Linked DNA regions of Macaca mulatta. The protein of the gene in region 3 purifies or fractionates together with the protein of the main gene of each other region. This does not show direct contact. Links are inferred from orthologs where the notes say so. Each region holds a gene or a part of one and is shown on either strand. Other genes may lie near its edges.

What was found. The genes of interacting proteins can lie anywhere in the genome.
Region 1: the proteins of DLD (region 3) and DLST purify together in Homo sapiens (affinity purification with mass spectrometry; 3 studies listed by BioGRID and IntAct, counting the BioPlex papers as one, with this or other methods). This does not show direct contact. The link is inferred for Macaca mulatta from reciprocal best matches to the Homo sapiens genes DLD and DLST.
Region 2: the proteins of DLD (region 3) and PDHA1 purify together in Homo sapiens (affinity purification with mass spectrometry; 4 studies listed by BioGRID and IntAct, counting the BioPlex papers as one, with this or other methods). This does not show direct contact. The link is inferred for Macaca mulatta from reciprocal best matches to the Homo sapiens genes DLD and PDHA1.

The regions. Positions count from the first base shown.
Region 1 is NC_133412.1:148,086,343-148,096,952, forward strand, and holds part of DLST (dihydrolipoyllysine-residue succinyltransferase component of 2-oxoglutarate dehydrogenase complex, mitochondrial), read left to right. Parts: intron 1-94; coding exon 95-169; intron 170-695; coding exon 696-751; intron 752-2,164; coding exon 2,165-2,276; intron 2,277-4,078; coding exon 4,079-4,231; intron 4,232-4,591; coding exon 4,592-4,668; intron 4,669-5,557; coding exon 5,558-5,655; intron 5,656-9,966; coding exon 9,967-10,097; intron 10,098-10,610. UniProt on the Homo sapiens protein: Dihydrolipoamide succinyltransferase (E2) component of the 2-oxoglutarate dehydrogenase complex. The 2-oxoglutarate dehydrogenase complex catalyzes the overall conversion of 2-oxoglutarate to succinyl-CoA and CO(2).
Region 2 is NC_133426.1:19,084,907-19,095,516, reverse strand, and holds part of PDHA1 (pyruvate dehydrogenase E1 component subunit alpha, somatic form, mitochondrial), read right to left. Parts: intron 9,292-10,610; coding exon 9,232-9,291; intron 8,692-9,231; coding exon 8,518-8,691; intron 7,388-8,517; coding exon 7,261-7,387; intron 5,599-7,260; coding exon 5,507-5,598; intron 4,191-5,506; coding exon 4,098-4,190; intron 3,030-4,097; coding exon 2,874-3,029; intron 2,701-2,873; coding exon 2,629-2,700; intron 481-2,628; coding exon 413-480; intron 1-412. UniProt on the Homo sapiens protein: The pyruvate dehydrogenase complex catalyzes the overall conversion of pyruvate to acetyl-CoA and CO(2), and thereby links the glycolytic pathway to the tricarboxylic cycle.
Region 3 is NC_133408.1:147,510,381-147,520,990, reverse strand, and holds the end of DLD (dihydrolipoyl dehydrogenase, mitochondrial), read right to left. Parts: intron 5,327-10,610; coding exon 5,136-5,326; intron 4,031-5,135; coding exon 3,860-4,030; intron 3,549-3,859; coding exon 3,359-3,548; intron 2,900-3,358; coding exon 2,762-2,899; intron 1,814-2,761; coding exon 1,724-1,813; intron 1,630-1,723; coding exon 1,564-1,629; 3' UTR 860-1,563; downstream 1-859. UniProt on the Homo sapiens protein: Lipoamide dehydrogenase is a component of the glycine cleavage system as well as an E3 component of three alpha-ketoacid dehydrogenase complexes (pyruvate-, alpha-ketoglutarate-, and branched-chain amino acid-dehydrogenase complex).

The DNA.
Region 1 (10,610 bases), on a different chromosome or scaffold from region 3:
ATTTTATGGGAAGAGCAACAAGTGATTGAGTTTAATTAAAGAAAAATAATGAAAAATGAACTACTTGTGATTTTCTTTTTTGCATTTTTCCTAGAGGATGACTTGGTTACAGTCAAAACCCCAGCATTTGCAGAATCTGTCACAGAGGGAGATGTCAGGTGGGAGAAAGGTAAGATTTAGTTTCCTCTCTTCTTGTTTTTCTTTTTGTTTTTGGTTTTTTTTTTTTTTTTTTTTTTTTTGGAGACAGAGTCTCACTCTGTTCCCAGCCTGGAGTGCAGTGGTATGATCTCGGCTCACTGCAGCCTCCACCTCCCAGGTTCAAGTGATTCTCTTGCCTCAGCCTCCTGAGTAGCTGGGATTACAGGTGCCCACCACCACGCATGGCCAAGTTTTTTGTATTTTTAGTAGAGATGGGGTTTCACCATGTTGGTCAGGCTGGTCTCAAACTCCTGACCTCAGGTGATCTGCCCGCCTTGGCCTGCCACAAAGTGTTGGCGTGAGCCACTGTGCCTGGCTCCTCTCACTTCTTAAGTTTAAGTGCTTTCTAAAATTCTCCCCTCCGCCAAGGATAGTTGTAGAATTTATAGCTCTGCCCTTTTCTTTACATATGTACTTTCCGCTGGCCCTGTAGGAAACGGTTCTTGTAACATACTGGAGGCTCCCCGCTAACAGGTAGCCTTTGATTGTCTTTTCAGCTGTTGGAGACACCGTTGCAGAAGATGAAGTGGTTTGTGAGATTGAAACTGACAAGGTAGGCTTATCTTATATTACCAGTTTTTCATGGGCTTCCCTTAGTTAACCTAATGAAACAGGGACTTAACCGTTGTTTAGAGATAATTTTTAACTAGCTCTAACCTCAGTTGTAAAATTATTGGATTTGTTCAATTTAAAAAAAAACTTTTTACATTTAACTTCCTTTTTTTTTTTTTTTTTTTTTTGAGACGGAGTCGTGCTCTGTCGCCCAGGCTGGAGTGCAGTGGCCGGATCTCAGCTCACTGCAAGCTCTGCCTCCCGAGTCTATGCCATTCTCCTGCCTCAGCCTCCTGAGTAGCTGGGACTACAGGCGCCCGCCACCTTGCCCGGCTAGTTTTTTTTTGTATTTTTTTGGTAGAGACGGGGTTTCACCGTGTTAGCCAGGCTGGTCTCGATCTCCTGACCTCGTGATCCGCCCGTCTCGGCCTCCCAAAGTGCTGGGATTACAGGCTTGAGCCACCGCGCCCGGCCAACTTCCTTTTTTTTTTTTTTTTCTGAGACGGAGTCTTGCTCTGTTGCCCAGACTGGAGTGCAGTGGCCTGATTTCAGCTCACTGCAACCTCCACCTCCCGGGTTCAAGCGATTCTCCTGCCTCAGCCTCCCTAGTAGCTGGGATTATAGGCGCATGCCACCACACCTGGCTAATTTTTGTACTTCTTATAGAGACAGGGTTTCGCCAGGCTGGTCTCAAACTCCTGACCTCAGGTGATCTGCCTGCCTCTGCCTCCCAAAGTGTTGGGATTACAGGCGTGAGCCACCGCACCTGACCTGCATTTAACTTTAAATTGTTTGCTGTGTGTGTACTATGTACTTCATTTAGTAGCTTTAGTCTTGTAGTGTGTGGTGATGGGGTGAGGAGGGTAAGTAAGCTGTTTCCAGTTTTTCCTGTATCACTTGGAAACCTATTAACTGAATATTGCCTGAATGTTTCTGAGAAAGGACAGAAAGGGTGAATCTTCACAATAGCGTTGACTTGTCATCACCTTTGCTCTGAAATTGTGGCCTTAGGTGTTTGTGTGCAGGGCCTTATATATTGTGTTACCACTCTTGTGACTCATTGGAGGTTTTTGTTGTTGTTGTTGTTTTGAGACGGCGTTTCGCTCTGTCACCCAGGCTGGAGTATAATGGTGCGATACTGGCTTCACCTGCCAGGTTCAAACGATTTTCCTGCCTCAGCCTCCCAAGTAGCTGGGATTACATTTTTGTAGTTTTTAGTAGAGATAGGGTTTCACCATGTTGGCCAGGCTGGTCTTGAACTCCTGACCTCAAGTGATCCACCTGCCTTGGCCTCCCAGTGTACTGGGACTACAGGCATGAACCACCGTGCCCGGCTTCGTTGGATATTCTATACAGCTAATTTTCTAATGCTGGATAAACATTTGGACTTCCTCCATCTGTCTTCCTCTTCCAGACATCTGTGCAGGTTCCATCACCAGCAAATGGCGTGATTGAAGCTCTTTTGGTACCTGATGGGGGAAAAGTCGAAGGAGGCACTCCGCTTTTCACACTCAGGAAAACTGGTGGTAAAGAAGTTCTCCTGGTGCTCAAGGTCTCCAGTGTTCCCTCTTGGGATTGGGACTGAGCATAATGTGCTAATTCCCTGATATGTCAAAGACTCTGTCATTCCAGCTGCCCTTAGTTGAGGGAATAAGGGGTAAATTTATATATAGTGTGAACTTTAAATGTCAAATTCTAGAAGAAAAGTTTATTTTTAAAAAAATAAACCTCATACTCTGTTCTTTCCATGGGTGTTTCTTAGCAGGAGCTGAGAAACTGAACCTTTTCTTATAGATACACAGATTGAGCATACCTAATCTGAAAACTCAAAATCTGAAATGCTCCAAAACTGAAAATCCAAAATCTGAAATGCTCCAAAACTGAAAATCCAAAATCTGAAATGCTCCACAACTGAAAATCCAAAATCTAAAATGCTCCACAACTGAAAATCCAAAATCTAAAATGCTCCACAACTGAAAATCCAAAATCTGAAATGCTTCAGAACTTTCTGAGCACTGACGTAATGCTCAAAGGAAATGCTCGTTGTCTATTATGGGGAATTCAGTGTTGTTTCTTATCACATCTATTCTCTCATATCTCTAGGAAGGGTTGGTATTTCTTTTGGGAAGAAATGAGAAACAATTTGTACTAGACCTGATAGGATTAGAGATTAATAACTGTTTATCTGACTCTTAGTGAAATTTTATAACCACTAAAATGTCTATTTCTTTTTCCTAAGCGAGAATCATACTCGTAGACCAACGAGTCACAAATGTCTATTTCTTTTTCATTGTTACACTAATAATGCAGATCGACCACATGATTGAGGTTAATCAGGCAAGACCAGAAGCTCAGAGTAGAAAACATGTATGGTAGAAGGCTAGGAAATAAGGGTAGTCCTCCTGTTGCAGAAGTTTGTCTTAGCACTAACCCTGGATGTAATATCCAGATGGGTGAAAAATAGAAACAAACATTTCATTTAAAGTTGTGAGATTATTACTTGGCCACCTCAGTGATTTATGAGTCATCCTGGATGAAGCGCTTTTTTAAGCCTAAGTCAGCCCTCGATGAATTTTTTTTTTTTAATTTTTTTTTTTTTTTTTTTTTGAGATGGAGTCTTGCTCTGTTGCCCAGGCAGGAGTGCAGTGGCCTGATCTTGACTCACTGCAACATCTGCCTCCAGAGTTCAAGTGATCCTCTTGCCTCAGCCTGTTGAGTAGCTGGGACTACAGGTGCGTGCCACCATGCACAGCTAATTTTTGTATTAGTAGGGACGGGGTTTCACCATGTTGGCCAGGATGGTTTTGATCTGTTGACCTCGTGATCCGCCTGCCTTGGCCTCCCAAAGTGCTGGGATTACAGACGTGAGCAACTGCACCCAGCCTATTTTTTAGTAGTATTCTTGCATATATAATGTTAGAATAGAGGATGGAGAGTATCAGTAATTAGAAATACGTTTATGTATGCATTTCAATATTTTAAATTGCCTAGACTTTTTTTTTTCTCTTGGAAGTTTACATTTTCTTGGGCTTGGTAGGTGCTTTGAAAGTACTTGCTGAATTTATTCAGTAGAAACCTGTGAAATCGAGGAGGGAGCTAAATTGAGCCAGTTATCTGATGGACATTCAGGGACCCTGAGGAATAGAGAATAGTGCCTTATGTCATTGTGTGTGTGTCTCATAGTGCCTTGCATATTGCCAATACCCAGTAGACATTTGTTACTTGATTGGAGCTAGAGTTTTTGCCACTAAATTTGGCTTAGTAGCTGTGATTTGGTTGCTTTCCATTTCAGATAGTGCCAGTGGCATCTACTTTTCTTGTTTTTCAGCTGCTCCTGCTAAGGCCAAACCGGCCGAAGCTCCTGCTGCTGCAGCCCCAAAGGCAGAACCTACAGCAGTGCCAGTTCCTCCCCCTGCAGCACCCATACCCACTCAGATGCCACCAGTGCCCTCACCCTCACAACCTTCTTCTAGCAAACCTGGTAGGCTTCCAACTCCCACGTGTCATGTGGGGGAACATCTCGTCTAATATGTTGCCTCAGGGTAAACTCTAAGACTAATCATGGTTCTGAACAGGCCAGGTTGACTGCCTTGTAGAAAGAATTCTCGACTTTGTATCTGAAGTTCTGTTTTGCATCTCAGCTTTCTGTTACTAGCTGTGTGTCTTTAGGCTAGTCACTTAATTTATCTGAACGGATTATTCATCTGTGAAGTTGGAGTGATACTAATACACCTCAGAATATCTTGAAGGTTAAGTAACAGGACATATGAAAGCACTGGCACAAACTCAGTAGATGTTTCTTTCTTTGTCTGATGCCACTTTATCCTCTCTTCATTTTCAGTGTCTGCAGTGAAACCCACTGCTGCCCCACCACTAGCTGAGCCAGGAGCTGGCAAAGGTCTGCGTTCAGAACATCGGGTAAGCCTCTGCGGACCACTTCCAGGAAAGAGGCAGGGGGCAGTGTTGAGATTAGTGGAGTATGGGTGTGGTGGTGCCTACCTTTGAATGGCTGGCAGCTCATTCCCTCAACCTTGACAAAGGGAGTTTAGAATATAACTTCTTCATAGTCACATCACCATCAAATGATAGAACTAGAACCCGAGGTCTTCTGAACACTTGTTCAGTGGCTTTCCTGCTATATTATGCTCAGTGAAAGCCTTGGGTAAGTTAAATATTTGTAGGGGATGGTAGCTTAGTAACTCACCCCCTTCCTCCCACGATGTCACACACTTCAGAGAGGTGGTTTAGTGAGCTCTATTCCTATACTTCCGGGATACTTAGCTGTAGCTAAGGGATAATACTCAGTAGCAATAGCTGTCAGGTGCAGACATAAAACCTCAAGGAAGTATGGTCAAGAGTGTGGTTCTTCTGCCTGAGAATACTTCCTAAAAATATGATAGCCTCAAAAGTTTGTTGCTTATGAGGTTCCGTTCCACAAATAGCTATTGTCATGCAAGTCTTTAGCAATAGAAAGTGCCCTTTTTCTTATGATTCTTATGTTGGCTAGACTACACTACACTACATTCTTTCATAAATTGGTTTTGGTTTTTAAATCACCGTTTCTGAGCCTTCATTCTTGGTCAAGCTTCAGGCACATCTGAGTGAGTAGTTTTGGCCTGTGTTTGCATGTTTTTGCTTGGAGGAGAAAGGGCCACTACAGGAAAGGGAAGCCTGGAGCTCTTGTTTTACTTAGGTACTATAGCCCTTGGCCATCCACTCGTGGCAGGCCATGTTCTTTCTGACTACACGGGGAATGCTTGACCCAGAGAGATCAGATTATCAATGCTTGTTCCACTCTCGCTTTCAGGAGAAAATGAACAGGATGCGGCAGCGCATTGCTCAGCGTCTGAAGGAGGCCCAGAATACATGTGCAATGCTGACAACTTTTAATGAGATTGACATGAGGTAGTGTTTCTAGCCCCTGTTATCCCCTAGGCCCTTTTTTCTTAGAGAACACTCGAACTTGCCCCTGTCCTTATCTCCTTATCTAGTGCTGATTCTAAAACTTAACTTGTCAGGGAAGAGGTATTTCTTTGCTTTGTTTATTGTTTTTTTTGTTGTTGTTTTGTTTTTTGAGACGGAGTCTCACTGTCTCCCAGGCTAGAGTGCAGTGGGGCGATCTCGTCTCACTGCAAGCTCCACCTCCCAGGTTCACGCCATTGTCTGGGTTCACGCCATTGTCCTGCCTCAGCCTCCTGAGTAGCTGGGACTACAGGCGCCTGCCACCACGCTCGGCTAATTTTTTGTATTTTTTTAGTAGAGATGGGGTTTCACCATGTTAGCCAGGATGGTCTCGATCTCCTAACCTCGTGATCCATCCGCCTCAGCCTCCCAAAGTGCTGGGATTACTGTCGTGAGCCACTGCGCCCGGCCTGTTTATTGTTAACTTTCACAGAGCGACCCACTGGCTTCTTCTCTAATTGGCTTTCCTGATACTATGCCTGCCTTCTCCATGACCTTAACCTTAGCCTTGGCTAGGTGTAGTGGTTCACACCTATAATCCTGGCACTTTGGGAGGCCGAGGCAGGCAGATTGCTTGAGTCCAGGAGTTCAAGACCAGCTGGGTAACAAGGTGAAACCCCACCTCGACAAAAAATACAAAAATTAGCCAAGTGTGGTGGTGCACACCTGTAGCCCCAGCTACTTGGGGGGCTGAGATGGGAGGATCGTTTGAGCCCAGGAGGTTGAGGGTACAGTGAGCTGAGATCATGTCACTGCACCCCAGCCTGGGTGACAGACTGAGACACCCTGTCTCAAGAAAAACCCAACAACTTAGCATTTTAGACTTTTAAACCTGAATCTTGCGATTTCTGATAAATGAGAGTAGTCATAGTTGTACACTCTGACTAGTGTCAGGTTGCCAAACAGAGATGGGACAACCAGGCCAACGTGGTTTATGCAAAGGTCTCCCACTCGGGATGGAGAAGCCGTGACAGCATGCCGAGAGCCTGGGCACCACATCCTACTTCTTTTACACAGGGGTTGCTCCTTACATGTTTTCCTAAGTGATTCAGAATCGGGTAGATGAAAAGGCAAAGATAGGCTAGGCTTGTCTTTCATTTTACCCAGCTTTGATAGTAAAATGGAAAACAAGTTGTGTTTTTAACTAACCTTAGAATGTTAACCAAAGGTACTAATTCACTGGGTATGCCCATTTCTGTAGTGAGCTAATTGTTGACTCACCTGTTTTCTTCAAGATTTTGATGTGTTCAGGTATCAGCACTGTCAGGAAGAGAAATTTGACAAACATGTTTTGAGTGTGTACTGTGTACAGAGTACTGTACTGTGGAATTCAGTGGGGTTATAGACTGGGCGCCATGGCTCGTGCCTGTAATCCCAGAGCTTTGGGAGGACAAGGAAGGAGGATCGCTTGAGCTTAGGAGTTGGAAACCACCCTGGGCAACATAGCGAGACTGTCTCTACATAAAATTTAAAAATTAGCCAAGTGAGGGCTGGGTGCAGTGGCTCGCACTTGTAATCCCAACACTTTGGGAGGCTGAGGTGGTTGGATCACATGAGGCCAGGCCAGGAGTTCGAGACCAGCCTGGCCAACATGGTGAAACTCTGCCTCTAGTAAAAATACAGAAATTACCCAGGCATGGTGGCGCGTGCCTATAATCCCAGCTAATGGGAAGGCTGAGGCACGAGAATTGCTTGAACCCAGGAGGAGGTTGCAGTGGCAGAGATTGTGCCACTGCACTCCAGCCTGGGCAACAGAATGAGACTCTATCTCAAAAAAAATAAAATAAAATCAGGTACGGTGGTGTGGACCTATAGTCTCAGCTACTTGGGAGGCTCAAGTGATCCTCCTGCCTCAGCCTCCCAAATGACTGGGACCACTGGGAACACAGGCATGTGCCACCAGGCTTGGCCAATTTTTTTAGTTTTTGTAGAGACAAGGTCTTGCTGTGTTGCCCAGGCTGGTCTCCTGAACTTCTAGGGTCAGGCCATCCTCCTGCCTTGGTCTCCCACTGGAATTATAGGCATGAACCACCAGGCCTGGCCAGAAAAGAATTTTTAAACAGGTCTTCAAGAATGGCTAGCATTTTGTCAGCCTTGTGGAGAAAGGTCATTCCAGACGATGTTAACAGTGTAGACCATGAGATGGGAAAGTAGAAGACACATTTGAGAAATTGTCAAAAATCATTTCTGTTGTGAGGATTATGTATAGCAAAGAATGGTAAAGAAGGTTGGATCCTTACTTGAGAATGTTTTGAATGCCAGGGTAGGAGTTTATATTTAAGTCAGGAAGCAAATCAAGTCTCAGGTCATCTCTTTGTTTCTTTTTGTCCTGAGGGTTTAGTCTGCATATCTACTTTTCATTAGAGAAATTTGCTTTTCTTTGGGAAGGCTTTGAAAATAGGGAGAAGGGAAGCTTTCTTGGTAGTGTGCTGTGGTATTGTTTAGAGTAGGGCTCTGCGACCTGTTTTACTGGATGTCATCCATTCTATTGGGAAACTTTCTGAAGAGACTGGATGACATTCAAGCCAAAGATTTCTCTCTTGTTCACAGGATGTAGGGGAAGGACCTTGACTAATGAATCACAAAGGCTGCAGCTTATGTTTCAGTGCATTAGGGCCAAATTGTACACAAATTGAATTGGACTTTGAAATTCTACCCAATTTCTTAAGACAAAACATGTAAATATTTGTGTCCCTGAAAGATGCAGTTGGCCCAACAGCTTTGATTGGAAAGTAAGCATAATAGCTGGATCTCCTTTCAGCAGCTAATCAAGGTGTCACTTAACAATGGCTTGCAGTCTTGCTGCAGCCTAATTTGGTTTAGATCGAGTGCCCTTTGGGTCTTGTGCTGATCAGCTAACCCATAAGGGACCTTTCTGAGACCTTCTCCCTTTCCCTGTTGTCCCAGCCTTTGCCTCCAAGGGCAGAGCTCTGAAATAGAAACTACTTAATGACCAGACAATGACATTTGGGCAGGTTTGAGAGCAGAGATGTTTATCACATCTCTTTCCCTCTTCTGCAGCTCTTGTGTCTTGGGAACCAGTAATGTCTTTAGGGTGGTAATCCTAGCACTAAATAAGGTTAGAATCAGGAAAACAAGCATTTTAAACCCAATCAGTCCCCCTTGGAAAAACTTCCTTTTTCAAAAACAAAAGATTTGAAGGGGGCTGTTAAAATTGTACCACATCTTACCTTTCATGCTAATGTCTAATTAGGCCATTAGAGGGAGAAAGGGAGAACCGAGCATTTGGCCCTGAGATAAAGTTAAATTCAATTTTCATCATAGAACTGCATTATTACATTCCGATAAATACTGAGGTTTCTGCAGCAAAGTGATGGGAAAGCCATTTCCCACTAACTCTGCAATGTGTCTTTGAAAAAAACCAGTCCCAAGAGAATAAAGGCTGTTCATGTTGTAAAGGCTTTTCAGAAGACTTGCTGCTTCATCTGAAGGGGAGCAGCCTAAACCACAGGTAGCCACTTTTCTGAATACCAAGAAATCACAGCCATTAAACTAATCTTAAGGGCAAGAGCTATGTCTTAATTAGCTTTGTATCTTGGTGCCTGGCCCTGACCCTCACATGTAGTAGGTGTTATTGCCTGTTTGAAAGAATAAGTGGATGGAACTGCTAACTCTGGAAAGATGAAGAATGAATATGACTTTCTATGAGTCTGAAAGAACACTGGGTTATACCCTTCTGTGCATAGTCATGACTGCTTTTTCCCACATGGAGCCTCATGTACCTGTGAAGTGTTTATTTTAGTCTCCACTAATCAAGAGATACGAGGAGTATCACATGGGAGTTATACTCAGATTTAGTGGGGTTTTTTTTTTTTTTTTTTGTATTCTAACAATAAATAAGAATATTGCTTATTTTGTAGATTTTGTTTATACTTTAAAACAATTTTTTTTTTCAAGATGGATAGCTCAGTTATTCAGGGGAAGGATGTTGGTGTGCTGTGTGATCTCTTGTTCATATGATGTGTCACTGAAATCTGACTTCTAGACCATGAAGGAGCGCTATAAAGAGCTTAACCCACCTTAAAGACAGATTGGGCCTGATTCCTTTATATTTCTTTGTAAAAGAACAGAGTTACTGTGTTAACCTCAGGTAGACTATTTCAAAACTTGAACTAAGGTAATGGTCCAGAGTGAGGGAAAAGCTCTCACCTGATTGTGTATATGGAGTGAGAAACCTGTGTGAAAGTCAAAATACAGGCTTTGTGGTCAGTTTGTTTTGTAATGTTTTCACAGTAACATCCAGGAGATGAGGGCTCGGCACAAAGAGGCTTTTTTGAAGAAACATAACCTCAAACTAGGCTTCATGTCGGCATTTGTGAAGGCCTCAGCCTTTGCCTTGCAGGAACAGCCTGTTGTAAATGCAGGTGAGTTGCTTGTGGCCAGAATCAGAGAGGTCCTGGAAGGTAGGTGTATGAGCACAGACCTGCTCCCACATGCAGAGGATCAACAGACCAAGGCTTTTTATTTGCTACCTGTAGAAATATGGGTATCTTCCCCAGGGATTTCTTGGTTCACTTCCTTGAAGCAGCATCATGATTACTTTCTCCCCACCAGCTGGGCAGAACAGTTTCTCTTCCCAGTGTACTGCTTGGCAGCTGCTCAGGCAGCAAGCAGTTGTGGGATAGCCCAGTTCTCCAGGCTGTCTCCTATCAAGGTGGAAGCTCGTGTTCTGGCTTCCTCCCCTTCCCCAGCTCCACAGGCCCTGTTACCTTGGGGCCTGACTTCCACACTTGGTGTAGGCTCCTGGCTGACCATCTATCTCAGGTCGATGGGCCTCACTGGGAGCTTGGGCTTGGCCTCTCTTTGATGGACTTGGTGCTCATTTTCTTTCCTTTTTACTCACTTATGTCATTGTAGTGTGGACCTAACAAGCACTT
Region 2 (10,610 bases), on a different chromosome or scaffold from region 3:
ACCTAGTTACCCTTAGCTCTATACCAGACAGAAGAACATCTCCAAATTCTGATCCTCCTCAGGTGGAGTATGCCATGCATGGACTTGGGGTAATGCCTACAAAAGCTAAATGCCCCCAAGATACTACACTACCATCGGTCTTGTTTTATGTAACAATTTTCCTGCACAATTAAGGTATATAACACTCTAAAAATCACTGCTCGTGCTCACACACACTATACATTGTAGGCATTTTCAGTAAAGCTTTCTTATTAGGAGGCACTGCTTTCAGGTAACTTGATGCCAACACAACTGCATGCATGAAGTGAACTGGTATCTAGCTCCAAAAGCAAATATTGAAATGTGTTTCTTTTGCCATGTAACACCATTCAAAGCCCACCCCCTCTGGAAACCACAGTGCCCATGAGCACACCTGACTCCAGGATCACTCATACTGTGTCCGTGGTAACGATAAGTCTGCAGCTCCATCAGGATGGGCCCCTAAAACAGAAGTGGTAGGCAGTTAGGAACGATGACGTGAAGAGCAGGCTGACACTCCACGGCCTCAAACGCAGGCCCTTTATTAAGCATCCAGTGTATTCTTACCAGATCTTTTGAGGTATCATGGATTTCTTATTGGTTGACTGATCTGTTCTCATTTCTAGCATGTATTGATTGCATATTTCAGTCTTCTCATTTATAATAAGGCAATCTACCAACAGCTTGTTTTGAATCAAAAAGGCTTTGAAGGCCAGGTGTGTTGGCTCATGCCTGTAATCCCAGCACTTTGGGAGGCTGAGGTGGTTGGATCACTTGAGCCCAGGAGTTCGAGATCGAGACCAGCCTGGACAACATGGCAAAACCCCATTTCTACAAAAAACACAAAAATTAGCCAGGCATGGTGGCATGTACCTGTAGTCCCAGCTACTTGGATCACCTGAGTCTGGAAGGTCAAGGCTGCAGTGAGCTGTGAGTGTGCCACCATGCAAGACCCTGTGAAAAAAAAAAAGGCAGCTGGGTGCGGTGGCTCACGCCTGTAATCCCAGCAGCGGGCGGATCACAAGGTCAGGAGATCAAGACCATCCTGACTAACACGGTGAAACCCCGTCTCTACTTAAAATACAAAAAAAAATTAGCCGGGCACGGTGGCGGGCGCCTGTAGTCCCAGCTACTCGAGAGGCTGAGGCAGGAGAATGGCATGAACCCGGGAGGCGGAGCTTGCAGTGAGCCGAGATCGCACCACTGCACTCCAGCCTGGGGGACAGAGCGAGACTCTGTCTCAAAAAAAGAAAAAAAAAAGGCTTTGAGCATGTTCTAGAGCCTCCTGCTATTGGCTAGGCAGATTTCCATCTCATGCTCCTTTCTCGTAGTGTGTTGTGGGGCTGGCAGCCACTTCTACTTCACAGATCCTGCTAGTGTGTAACAAAGTTGACAGGCACCAACAACCTCTGCTACCCAAACCCTGAGGCTCTGCTGGGAGTATGACCACTTGGGGTCTATCACCAAGTGGCTTGCTCATTCTACACTAGCCCACTTCCAGGAGATGGCTCTGAACACTGAGGGATGGGGAAACATTGAGGATCCTTGATTGGTTTGGTGCAGTAGTTAAAATGGGTGAGTGGGGAGCTGGCTCCATGATAAGAGTAGCTATGTACCTTTAACTGCTCTGTGGCTCAGTTTCCTTGTCTGCAAAATGGGCAAAACAGTAACACCTAACTCAGAATTGTGAAGGTTATGTGTTTGGGAAGTCATACATTCTACAAATCACCATGTCTCCAGCCAGGGCTGGCCCCCATGTATTCTTTTCAGGAATTGGGAGAGGTGGGGTCAATATCCATCACTCAGGGCCTGGCACTCCCAGCCTTAGGGTCCTGACAGACTGCTCAGCCCATTGTATCCAAGCTGTCATCTTGGTCCTGCTCTAGTTCATTCTACTCATTAGCTCTTATTTAATGTTACTACATCCCACCCTTACTTCCCTGTCTCCCCACTTTCTGACATTTGCATCACTGCCCAAACATACATGGTATGGCACTGAAGTGACAACTTCAGAAACCTTGTGTCTGGGCTGTGGAACACTAATTTAGGGAGAACACCTAAACCTCCTAAGCCTATACTAGTGCTGAAGGAACTGAAACCTCTTTAGGCCAGTCTCCCTGTTACCATCTCCCTCACTGCCATACACTGAAGGGAAAGATCCTTAGGACTGAGCAAGACTAAGATTACAAGCTTCAACCATACTGTTTGTGTAAGACACACATATTAAATGCCTATTGTATACATGACATTCTATGCTGGACACTACGGGGATCCCCAATCTGTTCCTTCAAGGGACTCATGATTAATGGGGGGTGGGGAGGAGGGACAGAATTAACCTAACAAAAAGGCAGTGTAGTTGTCATGATGAAGACAGGCGAAAGCAGAGGAAGCACCAGGACAGACTTCCCCCAAATGAGAGAAATGTGGGCTTCCCAGCAGGTGAGCTACCAAGACCAAGCTACCCAAAGGAGCCCTGCTTGCTTCACTCTGCTTCCATCTTGTGCACCTCAATTAGCAGCTACCCACTAACAGCTTCAGCAGGCACACGGGAGGCAGTCTTTGAACTTCCAGAGATAAATGTCATTAGCCCAGAGGCCTTTAGAGTCTTACCTTCCCAGATCTACAATAGGCGGCAGCAAACCTTGTCGCCTCTCGGACGCACAAGATATCCATTCCATCCACCTGTTAATAAACGGGAGGGGCGAAGCATGAATCCAGCTGCCCCAAACCATTTTACTTTCACATCACCTGCTTATGTTTGAGAACGAAACTCTTCAATGTTTCTAAGATTGTCAAGGGTCTGCACAAGGACATACCCCTGGCCTTGGCCCCGGCCCCACCACAGGTGTCCTTACTCTCAGCCCAGGAATGAAATCGCCTCTCTTGTAGTAATCAGTGCTGGCTGCTGCTCTCTCAACAGATGTTCCCATTCCATAGCGATTATTCTCACAGATGAAAATACAAGGTAATTTCCACAAAGCTGCCATGTTGTAAGCTTCAAATATCTGGCCCTGGAAGTAGTTATGAAAAGGGGTTTCATTTGGCTTCTTTCTCTAGGATCCATCATCTGTAACAGCTGCTGCTCTGCCTGGCACAGAAAGCTTTCATAAAGCACAGAAAGCCTCCTCTTCTAAAACCGAGCTTTGGGCTGGGCACGGTGGCTCAGGCATGTAATCCCAGCACTTTGGGAGGCCGAGGAGGGTGGATCACGAGGTCAGCAGATCAAGACCGTCCTGGCTAACACGGTGAAACCCCGTCTCTACTAAAAATACAAAGTAGCCGGGCATGGTGGCAGGCGCCTGTAGTCCCAGCTACTTGGGAGGCTGAGGCAGGAGAATGGCGTGAACCCGGGAGGCAGAGCTTGCAGTGAGCGGAGATCGTGCCACTGCGCTCCAGCCTGGGCAACAGAGCAAGACTCTCTCTCAAAAACAAAACAAAAAAAACAACCAAAAAACCGAGCTTTGGATGGTGAGGGAAAGCGGGGTGGGTGACAGATGAGAAGCAGCAGGCATCATACTCTTGCAACTAAGAAAGATGACAAACCAACTACTACTTGTTTCTTTGGGGCCATGCTAGCAGTAAGGAACACACTGGAAAAAAGATCAGTATGAAATCTATCGGGCCCACTGGATAGTCAGAGTGAACCAGCACCTAAGAATCAGCCTCTAGAACAGGGCTTCACAGAGTACCGGCCACAGACTGGGTATTACTCGGTACCAAGAGAAGCACAAAAACTGAATTAGGACTGAGACGCTATTACCCGAATTTGACACTGCCAGCGCGGACATCCAAGAGAATGGGTCTGTATCATTTTGCAATAGGTTAGGGGAGGTCCTTTATCAAGCACTGATATAGAGCAAAGGTGAGCTCCTTCACAGGAATGCGCCCCCCTAAGTCTTTTGTGAAACAATGCTAAAAGGTCACTCTCTAATCTGGCCATAAGTCAACCAAATTTGAGCTAGCCATAGGAATTACTATTTCACCTAATAAGCAATAAGCTGCTTCTTTGGAAATTCAACTGTGAATATTAAACACTTTGAAAATAAGACCGTTATTGGAAAGTTAAGAGACATAATTACCTGGTTAGCAGCACCATCGCCATATAAAGTCAGGCAGACCTCATCTTTTCCATTATACTTACAGGCTAGAGCAATCCCAGCGCCCAGGGGCACCTAACATTAAGGACAACCGAGAAAGGAACCATAGAAATCCATGAGGGGAGATATCAATGCCCTGCATTTTAACTCCTGGTCAGAATCTGGCACAGAAATTACACTGCTGCTACAAACTCTCCTTCCAACCCCATCTCTCTGTTTATCCCACCCCCGATACTTTCAATGAAGCAGTAAAGGAATATATAAATACTATGTTCTATTTTAACCAGTAAGCAATAACATTTCTGCATTCAAGAGTTAAAAAATAAAACGTGGCCGGGCATGGTGGCTCACGCCTGTAATCCCAGCACTTTGGGCAGATCACGAGGTCAAGAGATCGAGACCATCCTGGACAAGATGGTGAAACCCTGCCTCTACTAAAAATACAAAAAATGGCTGGGCACGGTGGCGCTTAACTGTAGTCCCAGCTACTTAGGAGGCTGAGGCAGGAGAATTGCTTGAACCCGGGGGTGGAGGTGCGGTGAGCTGAGATCACACCACTGCTCCAGCCTGGGCGGCTTAGCAAGACTCCATTTCAAAAGAAAAAAGGGGGAAAAAAAAAGTAGGTTTTTTAAAAAAACACATAATAGAATCTTAATATATTAGGAAGAGAAACAGTTGGGATATAATTTTGTGCTGTTAATTCTTCATCATCCACTAACTGATGAGAACAAGGACTCCATAATGAAGTTGACAAGATAAGGCAATGTACTGAAATACAAATAGGAAGGGGAAGGTAGGCTCCACTGCTAGAGGCTCTTGCTTACTTATAAAATAGCAGACACCTAAAAGGAAACATTATAAATCACCATCCAAATCTACTCAACTCATCGCTCAAATGGTAGGATATGAAGCACTAGGTCTTTAAAAGCAAACCAAGCCCCCAAAATACAGTCACGCATCGCTTAACAACAGGGATATATTCTCAGAATTGCATCACTAAGCTATTTTGTCGTGTGAACACCATACTGTAATGCACAAACCTAGAAGGTACAGCCTACTGCACACCTAGGCTGTATGGTAGAGCCTACTGCTCCTAGGCTACAACGCTGCACAGCATGTGACTGTACTGAATCCTGTAGGCAAAATATTTGCGTACCTAAACATAGAAAAGGTAATGTGTTGTGCCACTACAACATCACTAGGTGACAGCAATTTTTCAGCTCTATTATAAGTTTATGGGTCCACCATCATATATGCGACATTGACCAAAGTGTCACTGTGCAGCACATGGCTATACTACTTCACGAAAAGTTGTCTGGGGCTGGGAAAGTTTTTGAAGACAAAGGCCAGGGCCAAATCTAAAGCAGCACACAGTCCTCGTCCTTGACTACCTGCGCTCCCACGATGCCATTGCCCCCGTAGAAGTTCTTGGCATACATGTGCATCGATCCTCCTTTCCCTTTAGCACAACCTCCTTTTCGTCCTGGAAATGGCAGAACATACACATGTGCAGCACAAACCAACTCTACAAAGCAAACCAAACCACACCCCAAGTGGCTCAACCATTAGAACGCAGAGGCCAATTCAGTCATCTAAGTACCTGTCTCTCCAGGCAAACACGTTTCTGCTTGTCCTTTTACTAGTTCCATGTGCTTCAACCTTTCCAGCTTTTCCTACTCTCCAGTCACTTAGTTTCCTTCAGATGTTAGCAAAAGTCCAGATGGTACCCTAGACTTTTTTGGTTTTTTGACCAGTTACCAACATCTTAGGACCTCTCCTCTACTAGTACACTAAATATATTCAATCCTTGAACAGGGTTTGAACTGCACGGGTAAACTTATACAGATTTTTTTTTTTCAGCCACACATGGATTGAAAATACAATATTCTCAGGATGCAAACCCGAAGATATGGAAGGCTGACTTCAGGACTTGAGTATTTGAGGATTTTGGTATATTCAAGGGTCCTAGAACCAATCCCCTGGATATATGGAGGGACAACCATAGTTCAAGAGTCCAGGAGGGCCGGGTGCAGTGGCTCACGCCTGTAATCCTAACACTTTGGGAGGTCGAAGTGGGTAGATCACCTGAGGTCAAGAGTTCGAGACCAGCCTGGCCAACATGCTGAAACCTGGTCTCTACTAAAAATACAAAAATTAGCCAGCTGTGGTGGTTTGGCACCTATAATCCTAGCTACTCGGGAGGCTGAGACAGGAGAATTGCTTGAACCTGGGGGATGGAGGTTGCAGTGAGCCAAAATCACACCACTTCACTCCAGCCACTCCAGCCTGGGCAAAAGAACGAAACTCTGTCTTCAAAACAAAAAAAAAAAAAGAAGAAGAAGGGCTGGGCACAGTGGCCCACACCTGTAATCCTAGTATTTTGGGAGGCTGAGGCAGGCCACTGCACTCTAGCCTGGGCAACAAAGCAAGACTGTCTCAAAAACACAAAACAGGCCAGGCGTGGTGGCTCATGCTTGTAATCCCAGCACACTTTGGGAGGCCGAGGCAGATAGATCACCTGAGGTCAGGAGTTGGAGACCAGCCTGGCCAACATGGTGAAACCCCATCTCTACTAAAAATACAAAAATTAGCCGGGTGTGGTGGTGCATGCCTGTAGTCCCAGCTACCTGGGAGGCTAAGGCATGAGAATTGCTTGAACCTGGGAGGTGGCAGTTGCAGTGAGCTGATATCACACCACTGCATTCCAGCCTGGACAACAGAGTGAGACATAGTCTCAAAAAAAACAAAACAAAACAAAACAAAAAACCAAAACAAAAAAATAGTCAAGGGGGACAAAGAAAAGGGGAATATTAAGAAGATTTCTAGAATTTACATCGCATACCAAGCTTCAACCCAACTTACTTTTTTATGACTGCTAGACTTCTGCTGGCATGCTTGAATGATAACCAAACCTATTGTGATTTTATAGCACTAACCTGTTTTAAACTTTTACCTGAGGGGCCAGAGAACTTCACAAATGGTCAGTTAACTCAAGAGCACAACAGAAGTACCAGAGCACCAAAGGAGAGAGGGTTAAAAAAAGAAACTTAAAACTTTAAATATTAACTCATAAAATAGCATCTTAATGAGAGATATTTAAAAACTTAATCCACTCATTTCCCCTTTCTGTAAATCAACAGCAAACCTGTAAGCTCTGCGAGAATTTCTCGGACGGAAAGGCCCCGGGTGAAGGTAAAGCCATGAGCCCGGTAGGCTGTTATGAGATGGTCTGTGGGGTTGATGCCGGCTTCCAGGCCCACACAGCAAGCTTCCTGTTAGAGGAAGGAGAAACTATGAAGCAATACGATACATGTTTCTAAATAAAAACGTTTCCTAGACCGTAGTGAAATATTTGGGCTAGTAGAACCTGTCATTAATAACCAGAGAAAGTAGCTATTTTCCACCAAAATACAGAGCGGACGGCCCAAGCCAGAAGCAATAAACTGGCAACCCACACATGGGCCACTTCCTTCCTTTCTCCTGTATGATGACCTAAAAGCAAATCCTACATCAGATGTCAACATTAAAACACTGGGGAATTTCACATGAAAATCCAGACTTCCGCCTTCTCTTGGAGACATGGAAAACAGGAAGCATTACCCCTGATTTCCACATGGCACCAACTGGCTGGAACCAAGTCATGGCATTCCTCTGGGTAGGGCATGCTGGTCCCAGTTCAGCACGAGTCCCTGTCACCATTCTGTTTTGTATACCTAGCCTTCTTCACTCATTTATTCTACCTGGCTGGCCCTTATAGGTATTTGATTCTATAACCCTTGACATAAGCCCACAAAACAAAAAACAAACTAATCCTTTCTCTCCAAATTATATACAGTACAGGTGATCACAGTGCCAGAAAGTTTTAAAATAGTAAAACTCTGAGAACAGGTACAGAAAACTGGCAATGTTATGTGTGAATGAATTCTTTAGCCTAAGCTTCATAGCAGGTTTTGGCATTCTACTTTTTAATTCTAAAATACTGGCTTCAGCCAGGCACAGTGGCTCACGCCTATAATCCTAGCACCTTGGGAGGCTAAGGTGGGCAGACCACTTGAGCCCAGAAGTTTGAGACCAGCCTGGGCAACACAGTGAGACCCCGTCTCTCCAAAAAATACAAAAATTGGCTGGGTCTGGTGGTGTGCACCTGTGGTCCCAGCTACTTGGGAGGCTGAGGTGGGAGGACTGCTTGAGCCCAGGGGGCAGAGGCTGCAGTGAGCCATGATCACACCACTATACTCTAACCTGGGCGACAGAGAGATTGTCTCAAAAAAATAAATAAATAAAAGAAAATTACATTACCAGCCTCAAACTCTTCTGATACATAAGGCAGGGTAAAGCCCAATAAGTACAAGCCATACTTCAGTACCTAAAAACACAGTTCTATCACAAACCTACCACTCACCTGACCATCACACAAGTGACAGAAACCACGAATAATTTTCTGTTTATACAGCTGATCTGCTTTCAACTCCATTCGGCGCACAGTCTGCATCATCCTGTAGTATTTGAGCCCATCCTCCCTGGTGAGCACTGTTGTGACAGGAGGGCCTTCTTCCAGTCGGTGAAGGTCACATTTCTGAAATGGAATAAGGTAGTTATTATCCTCCACATACTACACTGCAAACACTGTTGACCACTCTAAGATCTAATTCCATTGCAAATAATATTGAACTTGAAAAACTGCTAAGGAGCACATTAGTAATGCTTCATATCGCCTCTGTTCCTTAAATCCATAAACCTCACTGTGCAATGAGATGGGGTTTGGGGAAAGGAAATCTTTCTATGATTTTCACTGAAAGCCCCTAGAAGCCAACTGAGATATAGGTTGAAAGAACCTTCAAAGAAACAACTAAGACTCTTCTTATTCAAATATTTCACTGAATTACTTTCTAAACTTTAGAATAAGCTTTTATTTTTATTTTCTAGCTCCTCCCCCTACCCCCCACAGAACAACAGCAAGCTGCTGCTAATAAATTCTAGTTTTCGTGAAGCTTCTCTGAACCTCTGATCCTGAACGTTTAGAAGAAAATGACTGAACATGTTCTATTCTAAAAGTAAAACTGTATATCAGAGTGTACCTGTGAAAAAATTATTAACAAAGTAAAACACCTCTTACCTTAATTTCAAATGTAGCATCATTTGCAAAATTACGAGATGCTACCAGCACTCTGCTTGCCTTAAAAGACAAAAATATACAAACAAATCAGTCCTTTTTAATTGTCAGCTATTTTGGAAAGTATAACTATTAATCAGTTATCAGGATGAAGTTATGGAAATTTAATAAGCCCCAACGTACTCATAGGCTTCTCTTCCACCCTGTGCACTGTGTTTGCATCTTTCTTAGCCTCCAAAATGAATTCATGCTTTGGCCAATGAAACATGATCATCCCGCCATCTGAAGGCAAGCAGTGCAAAGAGGGGCAAAAACCAAACCCATCCTTTGTTTTCAAAGAAATTATAGTTGAGAATATAATGAAATTAGTGGCTAAAGAGACTAGATCATCTGTGAGCTGTGTTTGTTTATGCCATTCTTTTGTTTGTTTGTTTTGAGACAGAGTTTTGCTTTTATCACCCAGGCTGGAGTGCAGTGGCGCAATCTCGGCTCACTGCAACCTCCACCTCCCGGGTTCAAGTGATTCTTCTGTCTCAGTCACCCGAGTAGCTGGGATTACAGGCACCCACAACCACGCCCGGCCAATTTTTGTATTTTTAGTAGAGACAGGGTTTCACCATGTTGGCCAGGCTGGTCTCCAACTCCTGACCTCTGGTGATCCACCTGCCTTGGCCTCCCAAAGTGCTGGAATTGCAGGCGTGAGCCACTGCGTCCGACCTGTTCATGCCATTCTAGTCATAACCAGATACTGTTCATTTTGAGCAAGCCAAAATTATACTTCAAATAAAACTATGATTTAATCCCCACTCCAGGGGAAGTTGACTCTTCTATCAAATTGTATCTGTAAGAAAAAATATTTTAAATTGATTGAAGTATGAGATAAATACATTAGGGAGACAAGACAAAAGAAAAGATACTTAGCACTCTCTGACTTAAACACAATGTGCTTGAGCCAGCTGTTTTATAATTTATAATTCGAACAGCCTAAATCTTGGGTAGGCTCCTCCTGAAGCCCCAGTAGAAAGAAACGTTCTCTAAAACACTGTTCTCTTGACGTTTGGGTGGCTGTCACTGTTTGGAGGTAAAAAGCTTGGGAGGAGGCAAGAAATGATTCCTTTCCAGTTTTACAATTGAGCAAACCTGCTCACAGCAAAAGTATTCTATGTAATGGCTAAGGTTTTGGTTAGATGACAGTATTTATCCAGTTAGTATTATCGTACTATTTTAACTCCCTTCTGCCATATTCTCACACACTGACATGTAAACCAACATAATTTCTCCATAAAAAGCACATTTGATGTGTTCATACTTTACGTAATCCAGCAGTGGACTGGATCTTGGTGAGAAGAGTTAAGACTGATCTGCCAAGTATATGCTGGAGT
Region 3 (10,610 bases):
CTTAAAAAGTGAACAGCACTGGCTAAATGTCTCATTTTTAATAGGTTCTCACTTGAGGGGGAAACAGAAGCCAAGTTTTATTGGTTAAGGATCAGAGGGCAGAATATGGGGCAACCACAACAGCTGGAACATGAAGGGGAAACCCCAAAAAAACAGGAGGCACAGAAGGGGCAGACTTCTGCCCAAACTCTGGTTGACCCCTGAACTACACACTTGCATGGGAAAGACTTCCAGCAGCATAGGTAAAGCTAAAACAACTGAGAAGAGATTTCAGCTGCTGCCACCTACAAAGAAGACAGAGTTTGGAGTTGGTGTTCAGCCAAGTTAGACAACTATCAATTTTCTTTAGAAGTATGTAACAGAATCCAGGGTCGTTATGTCACTCATAATGAGCATGAGACAATCTATGCTATCTATACCAAATTTCAGAACTACTTAATCTGAATTATTCTTAAATTTAGTTATAATATGCAAAAGCCTACTTAGCATTTAGTAATTTGTTACAATATACAAAAGCCTACTTAGCATTTAGTACTTTGTTACTTAAGTTTCCTTAGGACATGGTCATTTTAAACACCACACATCCAATTTTATACCACTCTTTAAATAGTCATTTACCCAGCCAAGGAAAACACAGATTAAAGACTCCCTTATATTATACTTCTCCAAAAGTATATATTAAACATTTAGTAGGTGTCTCTAAAATAGATGAAAGGATAATGACCTTTAAAATGCCTTAATATTGTCCTATAACATGAAAATAAAGATGCATTCAGGCCTACTAAATAAGAATATACACTAGAGGTAGTCGTAAAAAAAACTACGACCATCTCAACACGTACTCATAATAACCAGTAAATGAATATTTAAGATGTTTATTTCAGTATCTTCATTCCCCACTGTAATACATTTGAATCCCCACGTATTTGAGTTCCGTAAATAGACTCTCTTAATTTGGATAACTATGTAATTACCCTTCAGAGTTGTAGACAACAATGGAATCTTAAAAACCTCTTAAACACATAAATTCTACCCCTAAACTAAAAGAATTCAGGGGTTAAATAAAACAAGAAGCCACTTACTTACATCAGTTTGGTTTATAGACATTTGAATCTTATTTGAATGACTGACTTGTTTCTAATGTGAAAACCAAATTAAAAATAACTTGATCACTTTGCTTCAAACACAACTGTTCACATATCAAATTCTAACTCCATCTATGTAAAATTCAACTTTTCTGTATCAGAGAAAAAAGCTATTTAAATTCAGTGGCATTGAATCTTTCATGAACAGCATGAAAATATGAGTTGACGGAGATATTCCAGGATGCTACAATAAGTAGCTTTTTGTCTTACATATTAGTGCACTGAAACAAAATACTAAATTTATGTAAAATATAGATATAAGAGTATTCCATTCTGTCCAAACCTATTAAATACCTTCCAAAAGTTTCATAATTCAGTCCTAGAAATTCTTGGAGCTGTGAGAATATCCTGTTCAGGAATGTGACTTCTACAAAAGCTCCCAGGAAATTTCAGAAAAAAAAATATATAATCTTCTAATTCAAAAGTTGATTGATTTGCCAAATGATGCAGCAAGATTTGCTTCTCTAAAAGCTTCTGATAAGGTCTGCAAGGGAAGAAATTTAGAATTAAAAAACAAATATTTGTGGGCCAGAAGAAAATTTAGGCAACCATCAATTCTATATGTTGTTAATAATTACCGGATGTGCATGACAGACTCTAGCTATATCTTCACAGGATGCTCCATATTCCAAAGCAAGAGCAGCTTCATTTACCATTTCTCCAGCACCCTTTAAAATAACAAGCCAAGTAAATTTGCTACCATGGTAAAAAACTACATGCTAATAGGATAGCAATGGTTAACAGAGGAAGCTTTTAGATCTTAAAAACGCCTTAAATCTGTCTATCAGTTGAAGAAAAGTCAGGAAAAGCTTAACAGAAAAGGCGACACTGAAGAGCTTGGGCTCTGAAGCCAAAGGGCCTTCAATTCATATCTACCATTTACTACCTTAACCATTCATTGGTTCTGTGTGCTTCATTCAGTTTCTTCACCTCAAAAATAACAGCACCTATCTCACAAAGCTTATGTAAAAATAACAAAATGTATACTAAAGTGACACAGCACTCAAATATTCTATTCTCATTATTGTTACATCAGATACAAGAGATATCTATAAGAAAGATATATACTTTAGGCTCAGTGGTAGGAAAGGCTTCCCTTAGGAGGTAACATTTGAGCTGAGACCTGAACAATAGGAGCCAGCCATTCAAAGATCTGGAGGCAGAAGAGTTTAAACAGAGGGTACCTTAAGCACAAAGGCCCTAAAATGCAAACATTTGGCCTGTTGTGAAAATGAGAGAAGGCCCATGTGACATGGAATTAATGAGTAAAGGAGAGCAGAAAAAGAAGAGGTCAGAAAAGTAGGCACAAACAGATTCAGTGAGGCCCTGGATGTAACAATCTGAAGTTGAAAAGCACCACTGGAAGACTTTCAGGGGCATAATCTGGTATATGTTTTAAAGAGAGAATCTTGGCTGCAGGACAGAAAGTAGATGATACAGTGAGCAAGACTGTGAGAGTGCTGCTGGTATTCTTCTAGAAATGATGTAGAGAGAGCCATATTCAAAGTTTTGCTGGAAATGAGCAACCTCAGAGTAACACCAGGCGGTTTATAATTAATAAACAGTGATGCTTTCTAGAAATCTTAATGGGATTTCTCTGGTTTTATAATACTCACTGGTCCAAGAATATGTGCTCCCAGTACTCTGTCTGTCGATTTCTGCCCAAGGATCTTCACCATGCCATCTGTGTCAGCATTTGTCTTAGCTCTGCTGTTAGCAGCAAATGGGAATTTCCCAACTTTGTACTCAATACCCTGTGTGACAGTCAGAAAAAAAGAATCTACGTAAGTGCCAGAAAAGTTCATTCCAATTAGTAACATCATCTACCATTTGTTCAGAAAATAAATCCCAAGAAGGCAATTGTTCGCAAAGCACATAGAAGGAAAGACCAAAAGACTGGTTAATGAAATATATCTTGGGCACAAATGCAAGCAAATACAAATGTCTGTCCATCTGGTTATATTTCAAAGCCAAATATAAAAAATCTGGAATTACTAGTTTTTTAATATAAGCAACTTCTCCTCCTCTCAATTACTGCTGATAAATCTGTGAATGATCTCTTTATAATGCTAACAAGGGAAAAAATATATAAGCTAAACTATATTTCACAGCTGTTAAATACATTAGCCTAATGATAAAATGCTGTTTCTCAACCACCAGTGTCAATGGCACAACTCACACATTGGCGTAAAACCACCCATGTTCAGACTTACCTCTTCTTTCAACTGCTCTTCTGATTTGCCAACCCAAGCAACTTCAGGGTGTGTGTAAATCACTGATGGCACACAATTGTAGTCAATGTGCACAGCACCACCAGCCATTCCTTCCACACAGATAATGCCTTCATCCTCTGCTTTGTGAGCCAGCATTGGACCAGCAACTACATCACCAATGGCATAGATACTACCACAGAAATCAAAAGAAACACAATGAATTTCTGAAAGCACAGCTACTTATCTTCAGTTAAATCATGGTAACAGAAGTTTCCAGTAAATAAGTCACCAAAAAATGTATCAAATGCAGCTCTTCAAAAATCTATGAATTCGGCTTCTTATCTCTGAGTAAAATTCAGTTCTTTTTTATTTTACATTTTGTAAGTTTACTGTTCTTCCCCAAAGCCAATACATATTCTAAGCATAAAAATCTTACTTTTCAAAATACTGTTTGAAATAAATTTTAAAATTACTGAAAATGCAGACAATTATCCAACTTACTTTGGAATTTTAGTTTGAAATCTGGTATTAACTGGAATTCTACCTCTGGGATCTAGTTCAATTCCCAGCTCTTCTAGTCCCAAATTCTTAGTAAAGGGTCGTCGGCCAATGCAAACCAAGAGTACATCACAAGTGATAACTTCAGCTTTACCACCAGAAGCAGCTTCAATACTAGATAACAAACAGTATATAAATGTTAAATACACATCTGCATAAATTGATAGGCTTAGAAATTTAAGGCCAGTTATTTCTCAACTGTTGATGACATTTTTGTTTTGTTTTGTTTCTGAGATGGAGTCTTGCTCTGTCGCCAGACTGGAGTACAGTGGTGCAATCTCAGCTCACAGCAACCTCCACCTCCCAGGTTTCAGAGATTCTCCTGCCTCAGCCTCCTGAGTAGCTGGGACTACAGGTGCACACCACCACATCCAGCTAATTTTTATATTTTTAGTAGAGATGGGGTTTTACCACGTTGGCCAAGCTAGTCTTGATCTCCTGATCTCATGATCCACCCACCTCGATCTCCCAAAGTGCTGGGATTACAGGTGTGAGCCACCACACCCAGCCAGCACTGATGACATTTTTAACAATATAAGTTATTTGAATGCAAACATAAGACTCAGACAATGAAAGAGATTTATCATTAAAATCTAGAGGTCCATTATTAAAATCTCACAAAAACCACAGTATAATAAACCAGCAGTTAAGAATATGGTCTCTGGGTCACAAAAATCCAAATTCAACTACTGACTGCCACTCACTAGCTGTGTGGCAAGTTAGTCATTAATTAAGTCAATGAATTCAGCTTCTTATCTTTGAGTAAAAGTTAGTTATTAAACTATTTAAATACTATTAACTATTTAATTTAAATATTTATTTAAGAACTAATTCATTAAATATGTGAAATGCCACTAAAGTATTTAATCAGTAGAGTACCAGACGTATAGTAAACAATCTTTTATTACTGATTTCCCCATATATCTGCCAAAAAATATTGGTTCAATTTTATTGAATATTGGGAATTTAAATTTTTCTGAATACACTATAAGAAGGTACAACAATGAGAATATTGGATTAATCTTTCTAGCATTAACCTAATCATAAATTTCAATGTGCTAATGCAATAATTTGATAAGCAACTGAGTGATATTAAGTAATAAAATGACCTTACGTTATAAAAAAACCTGTATTTGCTAAGCTGATTTTGAAACTTGAGTGTTTTCCTTCAAGAAACAAGACAGGGATGCTACATCAAAAACAAATGATGTATACTTACGAAACATCAATTTTTCCATCTGACTTCTTGGTAGCACCAGTAACCTTTGTATTCAATTTAAATTTAAACCCCTGTTTTTGAAGGATGCGTTGAAAGTTTTTAGATATCTCCATATCAATTCCAACTCCACCTACATGACCTAAAAATTCAACTGCTGTCACATCTGCACCAAGTCTTTGCCAAACTGAACCCTGCAAATAAAAACCCCAATAATCATAAAAGTTTCTATAGCAAATGTTTATGAAATCATCTTAATAATTTATTGTAAAATATTTTCTTCTTTCACTAGTATGTTCCTATGAGAAGCTCTGAGGTTTAAAATTAACCCTGTGTTAAATATGTATAACTTCATACATTTATTAACTTATTCATTCAATATCTGTTGAATACTACATGCTAGGCAGTATTTTAGCTTCTAGGCATACATTAGTGAACAAAGCTAAAATCTCTGTTCTCAAGGATCTTATATTCTGGCAGGGGACATAGACAAATACGTAAAGTTCATAACAGAGAATAAAGTGCTACAAGAAAAATAAAACAGGAAGTAGAACTGGGACTACTGATTACCGGGATTACAATTTTGAATAGCACGGTTGGGGAAAGCCTCACTGGGAGTGACATTTGCACAAAACTTGAAAGAATGAGGCAATGAACTATCTAGTTAACTGGGGGAAAAGTGTTGTTCTAGGCAGAGGGAAACAGCAAGTGCAAAGGTCTTGAGGAAAAGGAAGTAGGCTACGAATCACTGATGTTTGCAGAATATTAAACTGGCTTCCTATTTTCTTTTCTCAACAAAGGACAAATTTTTACTTTTTCATTCAAATTATAATTTAAACTGAACGCCAGTTTACTTTAACATTTTGAAAATTAGCATAACTTCTAAACAATTATATATTAAACAATACATAACTGGCAAGATAAACATAATTTCACAGCATTAAATATGAAAAACCATGAACATATCCTTTGCAAGAATGTATACTAAAACCATCTGGTAATTCAAATGAACTATACAAGTTTACCTTCCCTAAATTAGGTGTGGGCATTCATTTAAAAAATCTCATGAATTTCTGGTATGAAGACTGAGTTAACTAGAGGCAATACAGTGACACTAAAAATCTAACACTATGTACATATAAAAGTTAACTCAAAATGGATCATGGACCTAAATGTAAAACCCAATACTGGCCGGGCGCGGTGGCTCAAGCCTGTAATCCCAGCACTTTGGGAGGCCGAGACGGGTGGATCACGAGGTCAGGAGATCGAGACTATCCTGGCTAACATGGTGAAACCCCGTCTCTACTAAAAATACAAAAAACTAGCCGGGCGTGGTGGCGGGCGCCTGTAGTCTCAGCTACTTGGGAGGCTGAGGCGGGAGAATGGCGTGAACCCGGGAGGCGGAGCTTGCAGTGAGCCGAGATCACGCCACTGCACTCCAGCCTGGGAGACACAGCGAGACTCCGTCTCAAAAAAAAAAAAACAAAAACAAAACAAAACAAAAAAAAACCCAATACTATGAAACTTCTAGAAGAACACCTAGGAGAGGAAATCCTAGAATTGACCTTGAGTTAGGCAAAGATTTCTTTGATGTAACACCAAAAGCACAATCCATAAAAGAAAAATGATAAATTGGACCTCATCAAAATTAGAAAGTTTTAGATAACATTGAGAACACAAAAACAGAAGCCACAGACTGGGGAAAAAAATTACAAAACTTCTATCTGATAAAGGATTTATATCCAGAATATATAAAGAATTCTCCAAACTCAGTAAGAAAAATTCAATAAAAAATGGACAAATGTCTGAAGAGGGAAGATATACAGAGATGGCAAATAAGTACATTAAAAAATGCTCAACCCTGTAAGTCATTACAGAAATCTAAGTTAAAACCACAATGAACTGAATTCAACAACACATTAAAAAGATCATTCACCATGATCAAGCAGGATTCATCCCAGAGATGCAAGGATGATTCAACATACATAAACCAATAAACATGATTCGTCACATTAACAGAACCAAGAACAAAAACCATATGATCATTTCAACAGATGCTGAAAAAGCCTTTAATAAAAATTCAACATCCCTTCATGATAAAAACCCTCAAAAAACTAGATATAGAAGGGACACATCTCAAAATAGTAAGACAAACTCACGGCCAACATCATACTGAACGGGGAAAAATTGAAAGCCTTTCCTCTAAGATCTGGAACAATATAAGAATGCTCATTTTTCACCACTTTTCTCAACATAATACTGGAAGTCCTGGCCTCAGCAATTATAGAGGAGAAAGAAACAAAGGGCAATCAAATTGGAAAGGAAGAAGTCAAATTAATCTTTTGTGCAGACTATATGATCTTATATTTAGAAAAACCTAAAGACTCCACCAAAAAACTATTAAACTTACAAACTAATTCAGTAAAGTTGCAGGATACAAAATCAACATACAAAAATCAGTAGCATTTATATACACCAATAGTGGACAATCTAAAAAAGAAAAAAAAAAGCAATCCCATTTGCAATAGCTACAGAGAATATAAAACACCTAAGAATCAATTTAGCCAAAGATGTGAAAGGTCTATACATAAAAAACTAAAAAACACTGATAAAACAAATTGAAGAGGACACAAAAAATAGCATGGACTGGAAAAATTAATATCGTTAAAATGACAATACTACCCAAAGTAATTTACAGATTCAATGCAATCCCTATCAAACTACCAATGACATTCTTCAACTGCCAAAGTAATCCTGAACAACAAAAAAAAAAACCTGGAAGAATCATATTACCCAGCTTCAAAATTTACTAAAAAGCTATAGTAACCAAAATAGCATAACATAATACTGTCATAAAAAGACACATAGACCAATGGAACAGAATAAAAAACCCAAATATAAATCCACACATTTTCCGCTAACTCATTTTCAACAAAGGTATCACAAACACAATGAGGAAAAGGCAGTCTCATCGATAAATGGTGCTAGGAAAACTGGATAACCGTATGCAGAAGAATGAGACTAGACCCCTATCTCTTACCATATACAAAAGTCAAATCAAAATGGATTAAAGACTTGAATCTAAAATCTGAAACTATAGAATTACTGAAAGAATACATTGGAGAAATGCTCCAGAACACTGGTCTGGGCAAAGACTCATTGTGTAAGACCTCAAAAGTATAGGCAATAAAGCAAAAACAGACAAATGGGATTACATTAAGTTAAAAAACTTTTGCACAGCCAAGGAAACAATTCACAAAGAGACAACCCACAGAATGGAAGAAAATATTTGCAAACTATCCATCTGACAAGAGATTAATAATCAGAATATATAAGGAGCTCAAAAAAAAAATCCAGTTTTAAAATGAGCACCAGATCTGAATAGACATTTCTCAAAAGATGACATTCAAATGGCCAACACATGTATGAAAAAATGTTCAACATTATTAATTGAGAAATACAAATCAAAATCACAATGAGCTATCATCTCACCCCAGTTAAAATGGCTTTTATCAAAAAGATGGCAATGCTGACAAGGAAGTGGAGAAAGGAGAACCCTCATACACTGTTAGTGGGAAGTAAGTTAGTAAAGCCACTACGGAAAACAGTATGAAGGTTCCTCAAAAAACTAAAAATAAAACTACAATATGAGCCAGCAATTCCACTACTGGGTATATACCTGAAAGAAAGGAAATCAATATATTGAAGAAATATCTGCACTCCATGTTTACTGCAGCACTATTCACAATAGCCAAGATATAGAATTAACTCAAGTGTCCATCAGCAGACAAATAAAGAAAATGTGGTACACATATACAATGGAATATTATTCCGCCATAAAAAAAGAATGAAATTCTGTCATTTGCAACAAAACAGATGGAACCAAAGGACAGTATGTTCAGCGAAATAAGCTAGGCATAGAAAAGACAAATATCGCATGTTCTAATATGTGAGAGTTAAAAAAAAAAACAAAACTGAACTCATGGAGATAGCAGAATGATGGTTACCAGAGGCTAGGAAGGCTAGGGGGAGAAGAGGAATGAAGAGAGGTTGATTAATCAGTGCAAATATACAATTAGAAGAAATAAGAGCTGGTGTTAATGCAGGGTTGACTATAGGTAACAATCAATTATACATTTCAAAATAGCTAGAAGAGAATAATTCAATGTTCCTATCATAAAAAAAGAGTTTGAGGTGATGGATAGCCTAATTACCCTGATTTAATTATACGAATGTATCAAATTATCACATGTACCTTGAAAAAAGTACATCTATTATGTAGCAATTTAAAAAATAAAAATAGGAAAAAAAAACCCACAATGAGTTACTACTACACAACCACTAGAACAGCTCAAATTTTTTAAAAAAATGACAATACCAAGTACCAGTGGAAAAGTGGAGCAAACAGAAATTTACATTGCTGGTGGGATTGTACGGAAAACAGTGTAACGGTGTTCCTTGAAGTTAAAATAATTACCATATGACCCAACAATTACACATCTAGTTATATACCCAAGAGAAATGAAAACAGATATCCACACAAAAACTTGTACACAAATAGACACAGCAGTGTCATTCATAATAGTCTGAAAGTAGAAACAACCCAAATGTCCACCCCTGATGAATGGATAAACAAAATGTGCCATATCCAGAGAATGAGATATTTAGCCATATAAAGAAATGAAGTATAGATACATGCTACAACTTGGATGAACCATAAGAACATTATGCTATGTAAAGAGAGCAGACACAAAATAATACATATTGTATGATTCCATTTATATGAAATGCCCAGAATAGGCAAATTCATAGACACAGTATAATTAGTGGTTTCCAGGGGCTGAGCAAAGGGAGAAATGGAGAATGACTGCTAATGGGTACCAAGTTTCTTTTAGGGTGATGAAAATGTTCTAGAGTTAGACAGTGGTAACAGTTGTACAACTCTATGAATATACTAAAAACCTTTGAATTGTACATTTTAAATGGGTGAACTGGTATGTGAATTATATCTCGATAAAGCTGTTTAAAAAGCAAACAAAAAAAAAGGACCATTCTTGGAAACTGGGATAGGAGTAAATAGAGGGGAAATAATGGGAGTGTGGAAATGATAAGAAACATCATCTTGGAGTCTAATTCAAAGTAGGGAGTGATGAGCATAGACAAGCGCCCTACTCTTTAGGAAAACTGATTTTAAAATACTTACAGACACGAAAACTCAACAGCATCTACCACTTATTTAGAGCTTACTAAATGCCAGTCACTGCATTAAGTGTTTTAAATGTATTAAATCTCAGCAATAGTCCTTTAAGTTAGTTATTTTTATCCCCTTTTTGATGACAAACCAACTGGTTCAGAGTGGCTCATTAACTTAACAAAAACATAAGTCAGTAAGAGGCAGAGTTGAAATTCAAATTTAAATCTGTTCAATTCCAAAACATTTGTTCTTTAATACTACACTAAACTGGAATGGAAGAAGAA